Drosophila melanogaster: one gene and its partner. The protein of the gene in region 1 interacts with the protein of each later gene in a pairwise test. Each region holds a gene or a part of one and is shown in the gene's direction. Other genes may lie near its edges.

The links. The genes of interacting proteins can lie anywhere in the genome.
Region 2: the proteins of Spt5 (region 1) and spt4 interact in binary tests that used the Drosophila melanogaster proteins (3 or more experiments, as listed by UniProt).

Annotation. Positions count from the first base shown.
Region 1 is NT_033778.4:19,435,888-19,444,629, forward strand, and holds Spt5 (Spt5), read left to right. Parts: upstream 1-1,595; 5' UTR 1,596-1,694; intron 1,695-2,067; 5' UTR 2,068-2,084; coding exon 2,085-2,456; intron 2,457-2,519; coding exon 2,520-2,644; intron 2,645-2,702; coding exon 2,703-2,840; intron 2,841-2,897; coding exon 2,898-3,348; intron 3,349-3,410; coding exon 3,411-3,481; intron 3,482-3,538; coding exon 3,539-3,705; intron 3,706-3,765; coding exon 3,766-3,938; intron 3,939-3,993; coding exon 3,994-4,247; intron 4,248-4,306; coding exon 4,307-4,502; intron 4,503-4,556; coding exon 4,557-5,280; intron 5,281-5,338; coding exon 5,339-5,904; 3' UTR 5,905-6,011; downstream 6,012-8,742. Other genes in the region: Fak (focal adhesion kinase), read right to left, coding at 1-592, 661-709; RpL11 (ribosomal protein L11), read left to right, coding at 6,597-6,602, 6,731-6,853, 6,914-7,211, 7,426-7,553; Arl6 (ADP ribosylation factor-like 6), read left to right, coding at 8,330-8,507, 8,557-8,691. UniProt on the Drosophila melanogaster protein: Component of the DRB sensitivity-inducing factor complex (DSIF complex), which regulates transcription elongation by RNA polymerase II.
Region 2 is NT_033778.4:12,629,434-12,634,805, forward strand, and holds spt4 (spt4), read left to right. Parts: upstream 1-4,155; 5' UTR 4,156-4,243; coding exon 4,244-4,312; intron 4,313-4,373; coding exon 4,374-4,536; intron 4,537-4,602; coding exon 4,603-4,721; 3' UTR 4,722-4,739; downstream 4,740-5,372. Other genes in the region: muskelin, read right to left, coding at 1-24, 87-243, 296-615, 669-887, 951-1,552, 1,609-1,747, 1,830-2,172, 2,235-2,447 and 1 more; CG33792 (uncharacterized protein), read left to right, coding at 3,241-3,309, 3,363-3,521, 3,572-4,021; Mvk (mevalonate kinase), read right to left, coding at 4,821-5,372. UniProt on the Drosophila melanogaster protein: Component of the DRB sensitivity-inducing factor complex (DSIF complex), which regulates transcription elongation by RNA polymerase II.

The DNA of each region.
Region 1 (8,742 bases):
CTTTTAAATCCGATTTCCTTTTCAATGTAGTCAATGTGCTGCTTTTTGTCAGGTGCTTTCACGGTGATGTTCTTGAAATAATGACGAATGCCCAGACAGCACAGTTGCACCGCCACTTCAGTGTCGATGGCTGTGACATTGGCTTGGATAAAGTCCTCTTTCACCTGATTGAAATAATAGAAGCATGTGGCCTTGTCCTCCTCGAAGAGCTCTTGAATATTATTTGGCACGTAGCGCACTCTGAGCTCCACTCGCCACACCCTATTATCGGTGATCCTTCTTCCGTGCTCCAATAGAACCTCATCCAACTCCGACTGGTTGTTGGGACAGTCAACGTTGGAGCAGCCGGGCGTCAGGATGTGCGAGAGAACCTTCTGCATTGAAGTGCTTCTAGCCAGCCAAATCACCTCCTTGGTGATCATGTTAAGCATGCGGCAGGCATATCGCTGAATGCTGGGCGTCCGTCCATCCGTGCCCAGATCCTCGACAGTGCGCCGGATCACATGGAAAACGGTCTCCTTGACATTAAACCGAACAGCCTTGAAGCTCTTGTTCGGCATATGCACGTGGATGAGATACTCCTCGGAGTTAACTGGCGGGGAAATAGATTTCATTTAGTTTTATGATGTGGTGGTAGTGGGGCCAAGTGGCATAACTCACTCTCATTTTTAGTGGGCGGCGGTTGACTGGTGGCTCCCGCGGTGTTCATGGTCCACAGTTACCGCACAGTGGGCGATTCCGTATAGAGGTTTCAACCTGAGATACCAGAAGCATATGTTACGGCGGATATCGATTGCATGACACAATAGCTAGCTAACTGGCGGACTTCCTGAAAATCTTCCTTCACAGGTGGAAGAGAAGAGAGACTTTCCCACCACCAAGTTGTGTGTGTTTTTTTTTTGTTTTTTTCTTTCACTCCGTCTGCTTTATGGTGTTGTGGAACCACACCTTACTGCCACGAGAAACCTACTTGCACGCCCACTCTCTGCCGACGCCAGAGTTACGGGCCGTCGATCGGCGGGCTATATAACCGAATTCTTTAATGTGGTCGGGAAAGCGAGAGATTCGTCGTTATTGCCAAACTCTCGGTTTATGGAAATGCGGTATGTGGTAGTGGGCACACACATGCACATCCCCCCGTATGTGCATCTGTTTATACATACAGTCTGCGCCAGATGTGTGGGGTTGATATGGTTATTGAGTGAATTGCACGGTGAACCTTGCGGTGTTTTCACTTCAACGCCACATCGTCGATTCAGGTTATGGATTTGTGTCTGCCCGCTGTCTTTTATCAGCCAGTAATGGTTATTTTTAAAAATATGATTACTTATTTCTCCGTAGTAGCCAGTGTGACCGAATCCTTCTGCTGATAATAAGCCAGCAGGGCTGTTCCCGAATTGGAACTGGTTCACTGGAGCGCTACACATCATCTGTGGAATTAAGCATTTATTTTCAATTTTTATATTTATCTTTTTATAGCAGAGTAAATGTTTTATATTATTTATTTGTAATAATTTAATTTTTAGTTTCTAAATTAGCTCATGGAACTAGTTCCCACTTTGGTATTAACTTTTCTAACGCAAGCAATCGATAACAACAAATTTACGACTGTCCACCACTGGCGTGGAAAGAATTACATTTTTTGCTTTTGAACAATTCGCTTAGAAAATATCTAATTAAACATAAAGGAAATAGTAAGTACTATCGTTATTACACCTTCGCAACCAGTATAAAATGCATATACCCCAGCATATATTGTGAATAATAGTTGAAGATATAAAAAATGCGATTTGCACTCGTTGCACTCGCACACGTTTACAAATTTCGTGTTTAAGAAGCAAAAAAAAAAACTTGAGAAAGGAATTGGTAGATATAATTAGACAATGTGGCATTCTTACTAGTTTCATGTATATAACAATAGAATAATGATCATCATCCAATTAACTTGGATATGTTGGTTTGTCCGCAAGAGCACCTGCATATCAAAAGTGGCGGGGTGCTCCTAATTGTATATGCATTCTTGCCATATCAAATTGATTGTTATCACATTTCTTTGCTTGCCTTTAGGACTCACATAGACAATAATGTCGGACTCGGAAGTCAGTAATATGTCGGATAGTGGCTCCGAAGATGGATCCATTTCCAACAAGTCGCAACGGAGTGCCCGCTCCAAGTCAAGATCGCGTTCCAGGTCCGGTTCCAGGGGATCTCGCTCCGTTTCCAGGTCCAGATCACGCTCTCAATCGGGCCACTCTAGATCTGGCTCGGAATCTCCACAGAGACGAGATAATCGCGGCAAGAGCGATGAATCCGGCGAAGAGGAGGAGGAGCCACCAGGTGAGGACATCGATTCCGAGGAGTACGATGAGGAGGAGAACGACGATCACCCAAGGAAGAAGAAAAAGAAGGAGCGTTTTGGGGGCTTCATCATTGACGAGGCCGAAGTGGACGATGAAGTGAGTCTTTATAACACGTATAATTGTTTCCATATATAACTATAATCATTCACTAAACTATAGGTCGATGAAGATGACGAGTGGGAAGAGGGTGCCAATGAAATTGGCATTGTTGGCAATGAGATCGATGAGCTGGGCCCCACAGCCAGGGATATTGAAATTCGACGACGAGGCACAAACCTTTGGGAGTAAGTTGAAGCTTCGGATAGTGCCCGGTCTCAGTCTAATTTGTTTCCTATATTCTAGCACTCAAAAGGAGGACGAGATAGAGGAGTATCTCCGTAAGAAGTACGCCGATGAGTCAATTGCAAAACGCCACTTTGGAGATGGCGGTGAAGAGATGTCAGACGAAATTACCCAACAAACTCTATTGCCCGGCATCAAGTGAGTTTCCAAATCTTTACGAAATGGCAACCATTTTATACTATGTACTCCTCGCAGGGATCCCAATTTGTGGATGGTGAAATGTCGTATAGGCGAGGAGAAGGCCACAGCGCTTCTTCTAATGCGAAAGTACTTAACCTACCTGAACACAGACGATCCATTGCAAATCAAATCTATTATTGCACCAGAGGGCGTCAAGGGATACATTTACCTGGAGGCCTATAAGCAGACTCATGTTAAAACTTGCATTGATAACGTGGGTAATCTTCGGATGGGCAAATGGAAACAGGAAATGGTGCCCATCAAGGAGATGACGGATGTGCTAAAGGTGGTCAAGGAGCAGGTTGGCCTTAAAGTGAAACAATGGGTGCGCTTGAAGCGCGGTCTCTACAAGGACGACATCGCACAGGTGGACTACGTGGATCTGGCCCAGAACCAAGTACATCTTAAGTTGCTTCCTCGCATTGACTACACACGCATGCGAGGAGCCTTGCGAACAACAGCAACGGTAGGGCGATCATAAACATGTCATAAAGTGTAATGAGATCTATAAATGTATGTATTCAATAGGAGAGTGACGATAGCAAGCGCAAGAAGAAACGCCGCCCAGCAGCTAAACCTTTTGATCCAGAGGCCGTAAGGTGTGTAGTACCATTAGAATTAATTTCGCTCAAGACCTAAACTACGTTTTTGTTTAGGGCAATTGGAGGTGAAGTACACTCAGATGGTGATTTCCTGCTCTTCGAGGGAAACCGGTATTCGCGAAAGGGATTCCTGTATAAAAACTTTACCATGTCGGCCATTCTCTCGGACGGTGTAAAGCCCACTTTAGCCGAGCTAGAACGCTTTGAAGAATCTCCGGAAGGTAAGATATGAAAGTTAGACCTGCTTGTGTTCATATTAACCTGGAAATATACTTATGCAGAGGTAAACTTGGAAATTATGGGCACCGTGAAGGATGATCCCACTATGGCTCACTCATTCTCAATGGGCGACAATGTGGAAGTCTGCGTGGGTGATTTGGAAAACTTACAGGCCAAGATTGTGGCTATTGACGGCACCATGATTACTGTCATGCCCAAACATCAGGATTTAAAGGTGTGTATGACAAAAGAAAAGTAGGATGAAGTAATAAAACAAGTGATTTTTGCAGGATCCTTTGATTTTCAAAGCCAGTGAGCTGCGCAAATACTTCAAAACAGGAGATCACGCCAGAGTGTTGGCTGGTCGTTACGAAGGCGAAACTGGCCTCATTATTCGCGTCGAGCCTACAAGAGTGGTGCTCGTCTCCGATCTAACCAATCACGAGTTGGAGGTGCTGCCAAGGGACTTGCAACTGTGCTCGGATGTGGCCACAGGTGTGGATTGTCTCGGCCAGTTTCAATGGGGAGATATGGTGCAACTGGAGTGAGTTTACGAATGTAATGACTTGCGAAACGGATCTTAAAAGAATTTTATCATAACAGTTCCCAGAATGTGGGTGTCATAGTGCGTTTGGAGAGGGAGAATTTCCATGTCTTGGGCATGAATGGCAAGTGCATCGAGTGCAAGCCAACTGCATTGCACAAGCGAAAGGAGAACCGTCATACGGTGGCTCTGGATGCAGATCAAAACCAAATCCGCCGGCGCGATGTAGTCAAGGTGATGGAGGGACCCCATGCAGTAAGTTATTCGATTTTATCCAATCTGTAGTATGTGTAAAGTCAAATCTTTTAGGGACGTTCCGGCGAGATCAAGCATTTGTATCGCAGTCTGGCCTTTCTCCATTGCCGCATGTACACGGAGAACGGTGGAATATTTGTGTGCAAGACTAGGCATTTGCAGTTGGCTGGAGGCAGCAAGACTACCGTTAGTAATGCCGGCATTGTGGGCGGCCTAGGATTTATGTCGCCGCGCATTCAATCGCCCATGCATCCATCCGGTGGTCGTGGAGCTCGTGGTGGCGCCCGTGGTGGACGAGGTGGTTTCCGAGTGACCCGTGACCGTGAGATCTTGGGTAAAACCATTAAGATTAGTGGAGGACCTTATAAGGGCGCCGTGGGAATTGTGAAGGATGCCACCGAGAGCACGGCTCGTGTGGAACTGCATACCTCATGCCAGACGATTTCGGTAGACCGGAATCACATTGCCATTGTGGGAGTTACCGGTAAAGAGGGCAGTGTCTCCACATATGGACGCACCCCAGCTCGCACTCCCGGCTACGGTGCCCAGACTCCCAGTTATACCGCTGCCGGATCGAAAACTCCGTTGGTGGGAAGCCAGACGCCCAACTGGGATACGGATACTCGTACTCCTTATGGTACAATGACACCATCGCACGATGGCAGCATGACACCACGTCATGGCGCTTGGGATCCCACGGCAAACACAACGCCGGCCAGGAACAACGATTTCGATTACTCCCTTGAGGAGCCCAGTCCCAGCCCTGGATACAATCCAAGTAAGTACTTTGGTTGCGCATTGTTCTTGACATATTGTAACTCCATCGAATCTTAAAGGTACCCCTGGCTATCAAATGACTTCCCAGTTTGCCCCGCAAACTCCTGGCACTCTGTATGGATCGGACAGAAGCTACAGTCCATTCAATCCCAGCCCCAGTCCTGCTCCGTCGCCGTATCCCGTTGGTTACATGAACACTCCGTCGCCATCGACTTATTCACCGAATACTCCTGGTGGCATACCGCAGTCGCCGTACAATCCGCAGACCCCTGGAGCCAGTCTGGACTCGTCGATGGGCGACTGGTGTACCACAGACATTGAAGTTCGGATTCACACGCACGACGACACCGATCTCGTTGGGCAAACGGGCATCATTCGCACCGTTTCGAACGGCGTCTGCTCCGTATTCCTGCGCCAGGAGGATCGCAGTGTGTCCATCGTTAGTGAGCACTTGGCGCCAGTGCTACCATGCAATGGCGACGAATTCAAGATCATCTACGGCGATGACCGCGAGTCCGTGGGCAGAGTGCTGTCCAAGGATGGCGATGTGTTCGTCTGCAGGATTAACGAGGAAATCAAGCTGCTACCGATTAACTTCCTCTGCAAGATGAAGTCCATCGACTAAGCTCTACATACGAATTGATGCTACACACTTTAAAGTTGACGGACTTCTTCAATGGAATACACATTATTGCTAAAATTAATAATTCAAATAAACTATTATGGACGTTTACTTCGAGTTTTTCAATTGATATCACTGGAAGTGCCTTTTTTTATTAATTTTGGCGCATTACTTAAACGATGTGTTTAATGCGAAATGAAGTTAATTAAGCGGGCCGTATTTCAAATAAATTTTTATTCTAAAAGGATTTTTCGTTACATGCGAATAACGCCAAGTAAACAAATATCAAATCAAGCTACCTCAAAGTAATTTAAACATCCGTGCAATCAAATAATCACAATTATCGGCCATATTTGCTGTTCAGCATTTAAAATAATTGAATAAACCAATTTCAGTGGTTAACATTTTAAGGAATACCCCATTTATTTACCGTTAGCCCTGTTAACCGTTAGTGATGGAACGACGTGCGCACAACAGCACGATAGTTGGATAACAGCACGACAACAGCACGTGTCGTGCGTTTTTTAGGTCCATTTGTGCGCCTCAGCGCGGCCACACTATCCTTTCCTTCTTTTCTTACAAGTTTCCGGTGAGTGCTCCGCGTTTTTTTTGCCGATATTTTTATTTAACCACTTTTAAATCGTTTATTTGTAGCGAGGGATACCTGTGAGCAGCTTTCACTCCTACATACCACAATGGCGGTAGGTTCAACCACAATTGCTGCACGCATCGACATATTTTCAACAATATTTTTGTCATGCAAAATTTGTACGCTGTGTGTTTACGATGGCAGCACAAGAAGTGACGAGTTTCCTTGGTTGTTTTTCAGGCGGTTACCAAGAAGATTAAGCGCGATCCCGCGAAGAACCCGATGAGGGATCTGCACATCCGCAAACTCTGCCTGAACATCTGCGTGGGCGAGTCCGGTGACAGGCTGACCCGTGCCGCCAAGGTAAGATATACCTAGATGCAGCATAACCATGATCACTGGCTAACTAGAGAATGCCAACAGGTGCTGGAGCAGCTGACTGGTCAGCAGCCAGTGTTCTCCAAGGCCCGCTACACGGTCCGTTCGTTCGGTATTCGCCGTAACGAGAAGATCGCTGTCCACTGCACGGTGCGCGGCGCCAAGGCTGAGGAGATTCTGGAGCGTGGCCTGAAGGTGCGCGAGTACGAGCTGCGTCGGGAGAACTTCTCCTCCACCGGCAACTTCGGTTTCGGCATCCAGGAACACATCGATCTGGGCATCAAGTACGATCCCTCCATCGGTATCTATGGTCTGGACTTCTACGTCGTCCTCGGCCGCCCTGGTAAGCATCTGTCTCCTACGTTTCGAATCGTGCACTTAATTAGGTATCTCTGCCAATCGAGGCTCTGATGCTCAGTGAATGTGCGCATAGCAAAGAAGATGTGCTTAGTTGGACTTGCTACATTCCATGCGTGGCCACACGGTACAATTTCGACAGCGTCTCATGGATTGCCAAAACGTTGATTACTTATCTGCTACTCTGGTTTATCTTGCAGGCTACAATGTGAACCACAGGAAGCGCAAGTCCGGCACTGTCGGCTTCCAGCACCGCCTCACCAAGGAGGATGCCATGAAGTGGTTCCAGCAGAAATACGATGGTATCATCTTGAACACCAAGAAGTAGAGGAGCTCTATCAGTAACCATGTTTTTTAAGAAGAATTCTACAATAAACCTTGGCTTGTGTCAACACGTAAAACCCGTAGTTCTGATCAACATTATTTATCGACAATAGTTTCAACTAAGTGGATCGTGATTGAAGTTATTTGGCAAGAAATCATTGCTAGGATTTCATATCCGGTTTTAGGTTCTATGGAGACCAACGTCTTGTTAATGGATACAACTGCAGCATATTGTAGTGTCTGGACGAAAACATTTGGATATCAGCTAGAGGCATTCAAGATTTTAAAGTTTACTGTTCAATTGATCAATTTTAAAGCAATTTCTTGTACTATTATAGAAATCAATTGTAAATATCAAAATGCCAAAATGAAAAAACTTTTGTAACAAAAGGAACAAATTCTTGATTTTGCTACAAGTTGTAGATTTAATTGCTAAACTGAGTTCCATGATTTATTTTATGAAATCCTAAAGCCAAATCATTCAGTTCAGTGTAGGTGTACATATGGCCAAAACAATTCCATCTTGGGCATGATGGGTGACCTCTTCCCCTACTGTTGTAATCGAACCCAATACTCAAAGTCACGCCTTAGGTGAACTTGAAAATTCGTGGGGGCGAACAAATCGGATGCGGCAGCCAAAGTTGAAGGTGGCCATAAGTTTCAATAAATCGATGCCAACACCAAGCGGGTTGCCATGGCAATTGAAAGTCCTTTGCAGGGCCAAACATGTCAGGAAAATCGCCGTAAACAAAATAAAATTGATGCCCGTCCGCCAGTAAAATGGGAATGTTGCACAATTTGGCCGATTTGATAAAGATTAAAAAGGATAAGATGACGATTCTGGTGCTGGGACTGAACAACAGCGGAAAGTCCTCGATAATTAATCATTTCAAAAAGTCCAGCGAACAGACATCCATTGTGGTGCCCACAGTTGGCTTCATGGTGGAACAGTTTTACAGTAAGTGGCCGTGGAATCATCAACTATGACTATATGTATCCCCTTGGAGTAGGCATGTCAGGTGTTTCCATTAAGGCAATCGACATGTCCGGTGCGACGCGATACAGGAATCTGTGGGAGCACCAGTTTAAGAACTGCCACGGCATCATCTACGTTATTGATTCCAGCGATCGCATGAGATTTGGTATTGAATATGCAAATTAACAACGCCCGTCTATCGCTCAATGTTTCAATT
Region 2 (5,372 bases), 6.8 Mb from region 1:
GAGTAAAGACGCAAGCTTGTGGAACTAAAATAATCAACTCAGATATAAGAAAGCTACAAAAATTGAAGTTCTTTTTTTAGACATACATTATTCAACTGCTCCGCATCGCTGTGATCAATGACATCGGCTATATGATGCCGTAAGTATTGCATTGCCTTTAAGGGATCTTGGCGCGTCATCTCCTCATAGCGCAGTTTACGCACCAAAAACCGACAATGCTTCAGGATCTCCTCTCGTTTGGGTCTAAAATATAATAAAATTATCATCGATTACATTCAGCTAGTAAATTACATACTTTTCCAGACATAAAAGCCAAAAATCATCAAGTCTCAGCTGCTGCTGCTGGCAGATTCCAGGATTTCCGCCAAACAAATAATGGGTATTGGTCACATCATCATAGACCAGCTGGTGGGCATAGCGAGGGCACGGCTCTAAGGTTCCATCACCCTTGCTAGCGCCCAAAATATTCATGTTGTTAATTGAGTTGGCATCCTGGCCACTGTGGCGACAGTAATATATCCTCGACCACTTGTGATTGCGCAAGGAATAAACCCAAAAGGAGTTTGATGCATCAATATGCTGTATATCACGACGATCCTTCACCTTACTTAGGCTCTAAAAACGAAGAAGTTAAATACGAACGCCGAAATAATGTCAGAACTACCTACAGAAAAAATATAAATTTCATCACGTTCACAGTCAATGGTGGCACGTAAAGTATAACCGGAGGAAGGTTCGAATTTGGCTTCGTTGCCAGCGATGGTTCCGTGATGCGGGTGCTCCTTGTTGAGAACCGATATGGCCTGGGTGTCTACATCGTAGCTAAGAAACTCATCCAGATCCTCCTTCCCTCGTTGTCCGCCGTATATGTAAAGTTTTCGATGTTTCTATAATAGCGCGTACAAATACATATATCTGTATACATAGCTTATAGAGTATAATTAACCTACGTTATGGAAAACCATGCAGTGTGTGATCCTGGACTTGATGGACATCACATCTGCCAGGGAAGCGCTGGCATGGTGGCAGTCCACCAGAATCTGAGCCCAGGTGTTCGTTGCTATGTGATAGGAGAACAGCCCCGAATATTCTGGTTCTATCGCTCCCGTGGCATTGACACTGCGAGGCGTGAGTATTTTGCCTCCGAAAACGTAAATTGTACGCTTATCGGTATCCATGCACATCTGGTGATCATAGACAAGCTGAGGACCACCCACTTGGCTGGTGTCATCGCATATTTGCATCCAGTTGCCAGCCCTCGTATCGTAAAGGTAAAAGTCGCTCTTTATATAATCCGAAGTTCGTATCGAGTTATCCAGGTAACGACCAAGCATGAATACATTTTCGCTGATGGGATCAAAGACCATTTTGTGACAGGATCGCGGTGTGGGTCCATTGGAAAGCTCTGACCTTTCGCACAGTAGCGTCCACTGATCATCTTCGATATTGAATACCCAAAGGTCGCTCAAGTCCTGGTAGCCATCCCAGCCGCCGTAGAGATAAATAAGTCTCCTTTTGGCATCCACCACCAGCTGGTGACCACCGCGATTGCCTGAAATAGAGGAAGTTAACTGCTAATGATTGCTATTTGGAGGCAAAAATAGTTACCAGGCTTTATGTCGCTTTCGGTATGCTTCATATGCCAGCTGTGCTTGTAGTCCTGCTTATGTAAATACTCATCCATTAGGCCCTCGTCTATGCACTCGACTATAAAGCGTTCAGCCTTCTCAAAGTCGCCCTGCAAAACCTAAGAACCAGTTTTTTTTATGAATTTAATACCAAACTTCAAAGGTTTATAGCATGATCTATGCTGGGGATTCCTTTCTTACCAGACACTTATGCAGTTCGCTGATCAGCGGGTGCTCCAGTTGCACATTCGTTTGCTCCTGGAGCGCCCCAAAGGCACTCAAATAGCCCTGCTGGCGGAAGTGCTTCAGACACAGCTTGATGATCTCCACCTCGCGCAGCGAGTTGTAGTTCTTCATGCGAGCACTGGTGTACATGGGGTCGTCCTGGCCGTGCAGCTCCACGTACCAAATGCTGAAGTTGAACGACGGACCCCAGGAGAGCAGGGGCACGATCTTGAGGTACAGTATTGGTAGATTTTCCGAACCGTCTTCGGTCAGGCAGCGCAGGTTGAATACTTCTGGCACGTTATCGTTTTTTAGGCCACTGGGAAAAATATTTGAGTTATATTAAATAATGCATTTCAGAAAACCAGCTGAATGACCTACCCCTCCAGCAGCAAAACCATGTGCTCATCGTCCAAGCCGCCGTAAACACGGAATTTCTTGATGTTGCACACATGCGATTTCTCGAACTTGCCAAACTTGATTTTCTTCACAATGGCGGGACGGCGCAGCTTCAAGGTGAGAAATTGCGGCGGGCTGTTCGTGTAGGCGGACCACCTAGATGTTTGGTCGTTGGGACAGTCCACCAGGACGTTTCTACGAATGGAAATTAAAAAGATGCCCGTTTAACAATTACGATATGCGAGGCATCCATTTTCTTTTCCAGATTAGTACTTACTCAGGCAGATAGTTTGGCGAGTAGCTGGAGTAACGGTAGATCTCAAAGTTCAGGCGCTCGGAAAGCGAAAAAGGCTTTTGGCTGCTGGTATTCGTGCCGGAGACCGGGTTTAAAGATGGATTAAGGGCCGAGGACAGCGCCACCGATCCGTGCGAGCTGTTGTCCGTGGGACTGGATGTCGAGGAGGAGGACATGGCGAGTTCTATTCCAACGATCCTAGCGGTAAAAGATTAACGGAGCTCGGCTGTAGCTGTTATTACCGTTCTTTCTTGTCCGTACTTTTGTGCTTCCCTGTTCCACACCCAAAACAACCGCGTAACAGCTGATCGCCAGGGGCGTAGCCGTTATCTCATCAGGGGGTCGATTAACCGATTGTCTTACATTACATTGGCAAACGGTTAGCATTTAACAACAATTAGCATTGTGTAAATAACCAATAGAATTAGGCTGTAAAATCAAAACAAGCAATCGACCTTTTCATTTTACGCTTTTTTACTTCCGAGCGATAGTGCATTTTTAACAAAAATTAATTTACGTTAAGCCGATTTTTTGGCTAAAGTGTAGATAAGTGTATCGTGGCGTATCGATTATTTATTTGAAAGCTGTTTGTTCATTCAACCGTGATACCTTTTTATCAAGTGTACAAAGTTATTAAAATGTAGTTAGCGTATGCTTTAAGTTGTTCGGTTGAAGTTATGTTTATTTGTTTCAATGATGGCAAAGTGGCTTGCTGTCTCTTGTGTGTACTTGGGCGTTTTATTATGCCTTCCAAATACCATTGTGCGTAAATAAGCCCGTATAAATACAGATTTCAAAAATATTTTAGTTTTTAGTTCTATTCCAATGGATACTTTTTCAAAATCAGAAAAACTGAGTGCATAGCAAACGGAGCATATTTCAGCAATGTCTCTTGCATTCTGAAGCCTGTAAACTGGACTCGATCGGTATTGAACATGGATGGTGACATAAAGGAGGCATTAACTGATATTAAGGTGAGAAGTTTCATTAATTTAAGTATTACAATAATAATGGAAATTTTCAGATGTCAGTAGAAGTGTTCTACAAGGATTCTTCGAATTTGTACAAGCCCTTCGCCGTTAAATTTAAATTTGATGTTTGCCAATTGTTAAAGAATAAAACGCAAAGTAATTTTCTGCAAAAATACGCTATTAGCCATTTGACGGAGTGGACTAATGTAAACCACAGTTGCCCATATAGGGTAAGCTTATGTATATATAATATAGTTAAATTTTCTCAATATATTGAATATATATATATGTTTCTAAAGGGTCATTTGATTGCGCGTAACTTTCGTTTGGACGAGGTCTCTCTGCCCATACTTCCAATTCAGGATTACAAAATTGCATTTAACTTTTCAGGAGCCAATCCAGGAATTCACTTGGGACTGGTTTTGATCTATTTTGAAATTCTAGAGGATTATTACAAGCAAAAAAAGAATAAGCCACTGCCCAAGCCGTTGAACTTTGTTTAAAATTCATATAGCTGCTAAGGAAATATACACTTTTAAAACACGTTTTAATACAAAGGTTAGCTTCGTGAAAATTCTTTTGACAATTTTTGTCGGGTGTAACCGGCGCCCATCGATATCGTAGATTCAAGAAAATTTTAGAGTACGGTCACTCTGTCAGTGTCGTGGCTTGGTTTTGCACGGATTTTGTATTTTTAGTTTTAAACCCATAATTGATAAGTAAATATGGCCTTTGACGCGATACCCAAGGATCTGCGAGGACTTCGCGCCTGCCTCGTTTGCTCCCTAGTGAAGGTGGGTTATATTTTGCCCAGACTCGACACACATTTTCATTGAAATCATTTATCGCCCGCAGAGTTTTGATCAATTTGAGACTGATGGCTGTGAAAACTGCGAGGAGTTCCTGCGAATGAAAAACAACAAGGACAATGTCTATGATCACACTAGCAACAACTTTGACGGAATTATTGCCCTAACTACGCCCACCGACTCCTGGGTGGCCAAGTGGCAAAGATTGTGTAAGGCCTGAATGACTTCCGTTCCAAAAGGGTATTACTGATATATTTGAAATCATTTTCCTTTAGCCCGCTTTACTCGTGGTATCTATGCCATTTCTGTATCCGGAACACTGCCGCAGTCTACCTTACGTGACATGAAGAATCGTGGAATTGTCTACAAATCTCGGGACAGAAGTCAACGATAAACAAACAGATTGCCGTACAAAATACATGTATAAATCTTTATTCTTTAATTTATAACAAAACCACGAATACATACAATAGCAATACAAAACGAAACCGCATCAGTCATCCAGCGAACTAACGCGCAATCCCTCGCCGCCGGCAGTCGTAACATGAACACCAAAACCCGCCGATTCGAGCTCCTCTTTAAGCTTCCAGTAGACCTCGTTGCACTCGTAGTTCTCTGGAAGCAGAACGATGACATAGCCACCTGCGCCGGCGCCCGTCAGCTTTGAAAAGAAGCCACGCTTAAAAGCGATGGTGAAGATTTGCTCCAGTTTCGGGTGCGACACTCCGATAGCCTTCAACAGATCATTGTTGATCTGGAACAGGCGTTCAAGTTGCTCGAATTTCGAGCTATCGTCTTGGGCGTTGCCAAAGCTTTCGTAGAGTGGAACGGCGGCGGCAACAAGCTCCTCGCAAGCCTGCCAAATGGCCTCGATGAGCTGCGGAAAGGCATCTCCCAGATGACGAACCTTGGCCACAATGTCGGCGGTGCTGCGACTCACACGACTGTCCACCAGCAGGATGTTTAGTGGTTTCTGGATCTTCAGCGACTGGAAGCCCTGGCCCTTGACATACCGCAACATTCCGCCGTAGGTGCATACAGTGTT